2 linked regions of the Callithrix jacchus genome follow. Each later gene encodes a partner of the first gene's protein in a complex. Links are inferred from orthologs where the notes say so. Each region holds a gene or a part of one and is shown on either strand. Other genes may lie near its edges.

Region 1 (4,427 bases):
AGGCTTTTCTGAGGATCTGCTACACTTCTTGCCTTCTTGGATTCTGTGTGATACCGCCATATCTCTATACTAAAGCCTACTTCAGATGGAGTTCATGAACTGTTCAGGTGAGAGCCCTCAATCCCTACAGGAACCCAATCTCCTCTTTCCTCCTAATGAGTATGGAGTTTCATCTAGGATGATCAGTGTCTTAAGGAAGGCTCAGTATTTTTGATTGTTCATTTATTCATTCAATTCAATAAATATTTATTGGGTACCTGTCATTTATTGGCTTTTAAAGAGACTATGGTTGAACAATTCCCTAAATGGCTCCAAAATAGCATGAGCTGACCCTACCAGAAGCCATGACATGGCTCTCCAGGAGCTGTTCTAGAAAAAACTGCTAGTCACTTCTGCTTCAACCAGCCCATGGACCACTGGACAAAATGGAAAGCAAGTACCAAGGTGAGCACCTTTTAGTGAGAGCCAACACACAACCCACAGGATTGAGTCTCCCTGTGAAGAACTGAGTGCCTAGGGCTGACCCTAGCTTGTTCCCACAACCCCCAGTCATGGTCAGACCTTAGAAAGGTAAAATATGGACACCTTTTTTCTGCCCTAAATCTTTAAGACGCTGCATGCTCCCGGGTTATCAAAGACCTGTGTCCGAGCACGTGCTTGTCAGGAACATTAATTAGGGTATTTGCATGCAAGAGCTGTCATGCAAGAGAGAGGGCAGGAAAGCTCTGAGGTGTTTCCACTGCAATGTACACCGCAATGTCAGCAACCTTCTGGCTGGGCTGATATATCTAGCCTTACCACAATGCCCTGGGAGTTGTTTTAGGGCTTGTCAGCTCCAGGGGCTCCTGTTCATAGGGCATATAAGTCCCTATCAGAGCAGCGATAGGGACTGGGCAGGAATACAGATAGGGGTCCTTCATTACATCGTTGGATGCTTCACACCTTCCCCAACCACCTGCATGACCAGCTGAGTGGTACAGCCCTGAAGTCTATGTGAAAATAGGAAAACTTGATGGTTCAGAGCCATTATTTCCACATGGGCTTAGGCATGATACTTAAACTCTCAGTGTCTCAGTTTCCTCGTCCATAAAAATAGTAATAAAAGCAGTACCTATCCTCTTAGGGTTCATGTGAGAATTAAATAAGCTAATATATGTACCTGGTGTGTAGTAACTTTTATATACGTGTTGGCTATAATCTTAGGGCAGCTGTGAGAGAGCTGAGCCCCAGAACCATAAAACCCTCTTAAGCACCATCCCCACTCACGGCCTGGCAGGTGGTGGAGCAGGAAATCCCGTGGGAAAAGGGAAGGCGTTGGCTGTAGGAGAGGGTCGATTGTGGGTTCCCGGAAGGTGAGGACTCCTTCCCTAACATCCTCAATGCCCAGCTACAACCAACCTGGCCGCGGCACGCAGCAGGCGCCCAAGAAACACTAGTCAGAGAGGAAAGCACTAGCTTTCGTTCTGCCCCCGTCCCACCCCAGGGGCGGGACTGTAGAGTCGCCTGAAAGGGAAGTTGTTCAGTCAACTCGGAATAGCGGTAGCAACCCGGAAAGTGGAATCATCATCTTGGTCTAGAGACTGACGCCTGTGCATGCAGACCCGTTCCCCTCTCTACCAAAGACCGCAGCCCCGGAAGTCACTCCATCTCCTGCAGCTCGCTATTTCCAGCGGCCCCCTCGTACCTTCCAGCCTGATGTCTCACGTCAAGTTATGGTGAGTAGGGAGTGGCGTGTGGATCTGAGTCTCCGACACTCACCCCCAGAGCTACCCGCGACTCGCTCAGAGAACGCCTTTGCGTCTAGGGACGGTGGGGGCGGGCGAGGGAGGCCGAGGATTGCAGTGGGCGCCGAGTCACGGGGGCGGGGGGAGCAGCGCGGACACTGCACTGCCGGCTAGTGGGCGACACCCCTCTCTCAGGTTGAACGGTGCTTCCGCCTCCTTGGTGTTAGACAAGTAATTGGAGAACCACAAGCTCGTCGGCTCAGGCGGGTTCGGCAACGTGTTCCGGGCGCATCATAGGAAGTGGGGCTGCGATGTGGCTGTCAAGATCGTGAACTCGTGAGTGTCCGGCCAAGGTCTGGGCAAAAAGGTGGAGCCGCTGTGCTCTGCGACCTGAATGGGGAAGGGAGGGATTCTCCCAGGACCCCGGTGCGACTCCAGCTCTCTACTGGAGTGTAGGAAGGCGATATCCAGGGAGGTCAAGGCCATGGCAAGTCTGAATAACGAATTCGTGCTGTGCCTAAAAGGGGTCATCGAGGAGGTGGGGTGGGACGACGATTTCAGGCCGGCACTGGTGACTGAATTCATGGAGAACGGCTCCCTGTCGGGGCTGCTGAAGCCCCAGTGCCCTCGGCCCTGGCCACTCCTCTGCCGCCTGCTGAAAGAAGTGGTGCTCGGGATGTGTTACCTGCATGAGCAGAACCCGGCGCTCCTGCACCAGGACCTCAAGCCATCCAACATCCTGCTGGACCCGGAGCTGCACGTCAAGGTTAGCCGGTCTACACCCCTCTCAGCCTCAGGACAAGGCCCCACCCCAGAGCTGCTCCAGCCAGGGCCACCAGACACTAGACCTGCAGAGCCCTGTCTGTTGAATAGGCACAGCCTCTCCCTCTGGACTCAGAGTTGTCAGGGGACAAAGCCCAGCCGGGAGTTTTAGCTCCTGCCCTACCAGGTGATAGAGGCCCTGACCCACACGAGTCATTTCCACCAGCTGTCCCACCAGGCCCTGGAGACTCAGACTTGGACCCAGCCCTACCACAGGGCACCTAGATCTACCACCCAAGGGAACCCCTTCCCTTGACCTTCACACTCTTTTTACAAAGCTGAATCTGCACCATCTGGGGGTAGGGAGTATTCTGGAGGCTGCCTGCTTTGTCTTCCCCGCTTCCCCCTTCTTCCCTTCATTTGCAGCTGGCAGATTTTGGCCTGTCCACATTTCAGGGAAGCTCACCGTCAGGGACAGGGTCTAGGGAGCCAGGGGGCACCCTGGGCTACTTGGCCCCAGAACTGTTTGTTAATGTAAACCAGAAGGCCTCCCCAGCCAGTGATGTCTACAGGTAAGGATCCCACCCCAAACACACAGCGGGGATTCCTACACCTCTCTTGGCCCTCCTAGGGGATGACGTATAGGAAAGGAGTCTTGCCAGTGATTGGACCTGTCCTCAGCTTTGTGTCTCCTGCAGCTTCGGGATCCTAATGTGGGCAGTGCTTGCTGGAAGAGAAGCTGAGTGTAAGACTCTAGGCAGATTCTGGGATCCTTAACCCCAGGTGCCCTTCTGAAAGCCCCAAGTCTTCCCCTTCCTGCTCATCTACTTAGACTGCCCTCCTCCCTCATGGTGCCCCCACATTACACTCCCTGCCTCTTTCCATGATGGACAGATATTCCCTTTTACCCCAAATGCCTTCTCTTCTCACCCACCTTCCCTACCCCAGTGCCGACCGAAGCATCACTGGTGTATGGAGCAGTGTGCAAGAGGGAGGCCCAGCCCTCACTAAATGAACTGTCCCAAGCTGGGCCTGAGACTCCTGGCTTGGAAGGACTGAAGGATTTAATGCAGCTCTGCTGTAGCAATGAGCCCAAGGACAGACCCTCCTTCCAGGGTGAGCTGCCCAGTTAGCTGGATCTGTGATAAGCTTGGGTCTGTCAGCAGGGGGCTCTTCTCAGGAAAAGATTTGCTCACCTGCAACCCAATCTACTGTCCCTCTAGAATGCCTACCAAAAACCGATGAAGGCTTCGAGCTGGTGAAGAACAATATGAATGCTGCTGTCTCCACAGTGAGCTCCCAACATCATCCCTCTCCAGGAGCTGGTCAGGGATAGCACAACATGACTACCTAGCCATCCAATGATGGCTTACCACCGATCACCGCTTTTTATGCCTTGAACTTTGTCCCCACCCTCCCCAGCCCACCCCCGAGTTCCCAGCCAACAGATTATGGACCAAGAGACTACTCCCTTGGGTTTGCTCTGGCTCATCCAAGTTATACCCAGCAAACTCCTCCATCCCTGCAGGTAAAGAATTTCCTGTCTGAGCTCAGGAGCAGCAATAGGTCAGGCCAAGGAAAGACAGAAATGGATGGCTTTGGGAGAAACACAGGAAGGCAGCACTGTTATGATGATTTCATGGATTCTGACCTGCTAAATAAACTGAATCTAGAGGATTCTTCCAGCTGTGTTCCTGAAAAATACCCAAGTCTTACCAAGAAGAGCAGGGCACAAGAGGAGCAGGTTCCACAAGCCAGGACAGCAGGGACATCTTCAGATTCAATGGCTCAACCTCCCCAGACTCCAGAGACCTCAACTTTCAGAAACCAGACACCCAGCCCCACCTCAACTGGAACACCAGGTCCTAGACCCCAAAGGAATCAGGTGAGACATTGGCAGGATTAGGGGATGCACTAGAACTCCTATAAATCCTTTCCCCT
Region 2 (3,813 bases), on another chromosome or scaffold:
AGCTGGGCATGGTGGTAGGTGCCTGTAGTCCCAGCTACTCGGGAGGCTGAGGCAGGAGAATTGCCTGAACCCAGGAGGTGGAGGTTGTGGTGAGCCGAGATCGCACCATTGCACTCCAGCCTGGGTAACAAGAGCGAAACTCAGTCTCAAAAAAAAAAAAGTACAACTATAACAGCAAAAATTACAACAGCTTTTAACAGCATTTGTGAGTGTATAACACGGATGACATCACTTCTCAAACATGACTTATAGGAAGGCTAAATGAAGCCATGAAAGTGATACTATGTACGCTCATAATTCTATACAGATATAAACTGTTTGCTAGTATCTAAGGCACTGAAGAGAAAGGACTGCTTGTTATACATTGTATTTTCCCAGGCTATGTGAAGTTAGAAGGTGTAGTTCTTAGACATGGCCCCTAGATGGCAGTAACTACACGTTGTTTTGAAGTAACCAACTGCTCTTTTTCTTGTCTGGGATGAGACAGGAATCTAAGCATATTTATTGGCAAACATAGGCGGAGAATTTTAGAAATATCTTTTATTTTGTCATTAAATCAAGAATTAATTCTTCTCTTTGACACAAAGGATAGCACAAAGTTTCACCTTCTAAAATCTTCTCCCCATTTTGCTGTTCTAATGATCCTGGGATTTTGTTATTCTGATTCGATAGAAAAGATAGTTTGGGACTAGAATCCAGGGACTCTCCCAAATGAGAGTCTCCACATGTAACAGTTGCAGGATTCAACGTGTGCTTTTTGGATGGGTGCAAGTGGCTCACACCTGTAATCCCAGCAGTTTGGGAGGCCGAGGTGGGCAGATCACTTGAGGTCAGGAGTTGAAGACCAACCTGGCCAACATGGTGAAACCTCATCTCTAATAAAAATACAAAACTTAGCCAGGAGTGGTGGCAGGCGCCTGTAATCCCAGCTACTCGGGAGGCTGAGGCAGGAGAATCACTTGAACCTGGGAGGCAGAGGTTGCAGTGAGCTGAGATCACGCCTCTGCACTCTCACCTGGGCAACAACAGTGAGACCCTGTCTCAAACAACCACAAGACACAAAGTATGCTTCTTGTATGCTTTACAAGAAGGCAATTAAGTTCCATCAAAGCTAAAATTCCAACCACAGACATTCTTAGGCCTCCTTTGAATGTAGGAAATTTTTGTGTGTCTAGGCTACTTCTATTATTATAGGAAAACAATTTTTGTTTTGTTTTTTGAACAGTTAATCTTTTATTTTTGGTTAAGTGATCCCTCTCCATAGCCATTGCATGTCTGCATGTAGAGTGCTATATGCTGTTCTACTCACAACCTCACCTCACAGAAGATAGACGATACCTGGAGAATCTTTAATGAAGACAGAGGCAATAATCAGTAGACAAGAGAAGCTTTTGTAGGAAGCAAAATGAGATAATGTAAGGACATGGAAGCCTAGAGAAAAGAAGCTAAGAGAAAACGTGATCAAAGTCTACAAAAGTCCTGTAAGATTAAAATAAAATGCTCAAAAGGATAAATGAAATAATAAACAACAATGTGCACCCTGATTATTAAGGCAAATGAGAGATTCATAGTGGGCAGACAAGCTTATTCATAAATATTGCTTTGGTACCACTGTGTGAGATGAAATATGGCTGATGTGATGTGGCAGAATGATAGGTGGATTCCCTTGACCTCCCGTGACTGTTTTCTCTAGTATGCTGTCATCATAGAAGGCAGACTTTATCTGCATACCTTTCTGAAACCAGTTTCATGGAACTAACCTACCATTGGAAGATTAGTTTAACTTCTTTCTAGAGCAGAGATCCTGCTACAAAATCCCAGTCAGTCAACCACTTTGTGCCTCTTTGAAAGGTAATGACAGAGTACCTACTACCTCTTAAGACAGTTCATTCTACTCTTAGTTCTAATAATCAGTTTCTCTTTTTACTACAATCCAAGTGATGGCCTTGTTATTTCAGCCCAGAATTGCTCAAATTCTATCAGAAATGACAGCTGAGAATTTTTCAGTCCCTCTTCTGCCTGAGAGTGCCTTAAGTCACCAAACATGGCCATCTTATTACATGGTCTTTCTAAAAATCACGACTAGGAATTGGCTTTTCAAAATAACATATAACCTGACCATAGACCTGGAGGAGCCCAGCCAGATTATACAACTGCATTTTGTAGGCATTAGTGAGGAGCCAACATGCCACCCATCCATCCATTTCTTCATCCATTCAGTAAACATCTATTGAATTGCTAATAGATGCAAGGAATCCTTTTAGGTCCTTATGAGAAAACAAGGAGTTAAAAACAAATCCAGATTTTGTACAGCTTATACTCTAAAGGGAAGGTAGACATTTTCTTACAAGGCAAATGAATCCATGTGGTGAACGGAGAACAAAAGCTCTGATGGAAAGGAAGGAAGTTCTTTAGCAGCTGTGTCGAAGGAGCATTAACATGAGCCAGGAGTTAGAGCTGGTGTTGGCCAAATGCAGGTTCCACAGGGAAGTGACCCTTGAGCTAAGCTCTGAAAAATCCATAGCAGTTAAAGGTACCTTCAGTCAGAGGGAACACTGTGTGAAAATCCCCATGAGCAAGTGTTGACCTGCCTGAGGACTGAGAGAAGGCCAGTATGGCTGGAGTACAGAGAATCAATCTTCAGAGGGCAGGATGCGGTCCCCTTGACAGACAGTGCAAAGCCTTGTAGAACATAATCAGAAATCTGCCTTTGTTTCATAGCAGCAGTTGATTCATTTTCGCTACGATGTGAGATTTCATTTAACTTATAATCACATATACACATAAACTCATATACATATGTAGAGAGAGAATTGGTCTGTTTTTGATTGTTATTTTAGTCATTTGAGGCCATTGTGAATAATGCTGCTATGAATATTTATGCACATTATAAGCGTTAGGTACTTATCTTTGTATGTGTGTGTGTGTGTGTTTCTTTTGACTGTACACCTCTGCGTGGAATTACTGGATGTTAAGGTAAGTAGATATTGAATTTTAACAAATAGTGTCCCAAACCATTTTCCAATGTGTTATACAATTTAAGCCTACTACTTCCTAGTTTCTTTTATTTTTGTTTTTGTTTTTGAGACAGACAGGGTCTCACCATGTCATCCAAGCTGGAGTGCAGTGGTGTGATCACGGCTCACTGCAGCCTTGAACTCCTGGGCTCAAGTTATCCTCCTGCCTCAGCCTCCCAAGTAGCTGCGACTGAAGACATGTGCCATTGCACCTGGCTAATTTTGAAAACATTTTCTGTAAATATGGGGTCTCCCTATGTTGACCAAGCTGGTCTCAAACTCCTGGCGGCCTCAAGCTATCCTCCAGCCTTGGCCTCCCAAAGTGCTGAGATTACAGGTGTCTATGTCATGTTGTTTCTTTATTTTTAAAATAAGATTTATTATTTTTTTTAGAAAAGTTAGCTGTTCTTGAAGATATCTTAATATGGTTTTAATATTTATTTCTGGTGACATTTGAAAATGTGCACGCTCATATGTTTATATGCTTATTGGCCACGTCTTTCGTTTTTTAATCAGTTGATCAGAAATACAAACCCGTAACAAAACCAAAGCCACTAAGTCAAGCTGAAATGAGTCCTGCTGCGTCTGCAGCCATCAGAAAAGATGTCACAAAGCAACGTGCTGCACCAAAAGTCTCTCCTCATATTAAGGTAGGAGGAGGCGAGTGGAGTGGCCTTTGTCCTTGTAAGAGCGTCCTCTAGTCACTGTCACTGTCACTTCTCACACGGTTCTCTGTTCTTTATCTCACAGCATGCAAATAAGGGAAGCAAGGCCACAGTATGAAAAGTGATCTGAG

Evidence for each region.
Region 2: RIPK3 (region 1) and AIM2 share a complex: the UniProt entries of both Homo sapiens proteins name them as parts of the AIM2 PANoptosome complex. The link is inferred for Callithrix jacchus from reciprocal best matches to the Homo sapiens genes RIPK3 and AIM2.

The regions. Positions count from the first base shown.
Region 1 is NC_133509.1:58,638,734-58,643,160, reverse strand, and holds the start of RIPK3 (receptor-interacting serine/threonine-protein kinase 3), read left to right. Parts: upstream 1-1,521; 5' UTR 1,522-1,715; intron 1,716-1,919; 5' UTR 1,920-2,118; coding exon 2,119-2,490; intron 2,491-2,912; coding exon 2,913-3,058; intron 3,059-3,184; coding exon 3,185-3,231; intron 3,232-3,434; coding exon 3,435-3,602; intron 3,603-3,709; coding exon 3,710-3,777; intron 3,778-4,014; coding exon 4,015-4,392; 3' UTR 4,393-4,427. UniProt on the Homo sapiens protein: Serine/threonine-protein kinase that activates necroptosis and apoptosis, two parallel forms of cell death. Necroptosis, a programmed cell death process in response to death-inducing TNF-alpha family members, is triggered by RIPK3 following activation by ZBP1.
Region 2 is NC_133519.1:19,052,422-19,056,234, reverse strand, and holds part of AIM2 (interferon-inducible protein AIM2), read left to right. Parts: intron 1-2,997; exon of another isoform or gene 2,998-3,104; coding exon of another isoform or gene 3,105-3,354; intron 3,355-3,533; coding exon 3,534-3,667; intron 3,668-3,813. UniProt on the Homo sapiens protein: Sensor component of the AIM2 inflammasome, which mediates inflammasome activation in response to the presence of double-stranded DNA (dsDNA) in the cytosol, leading to subsequent pyroptosis.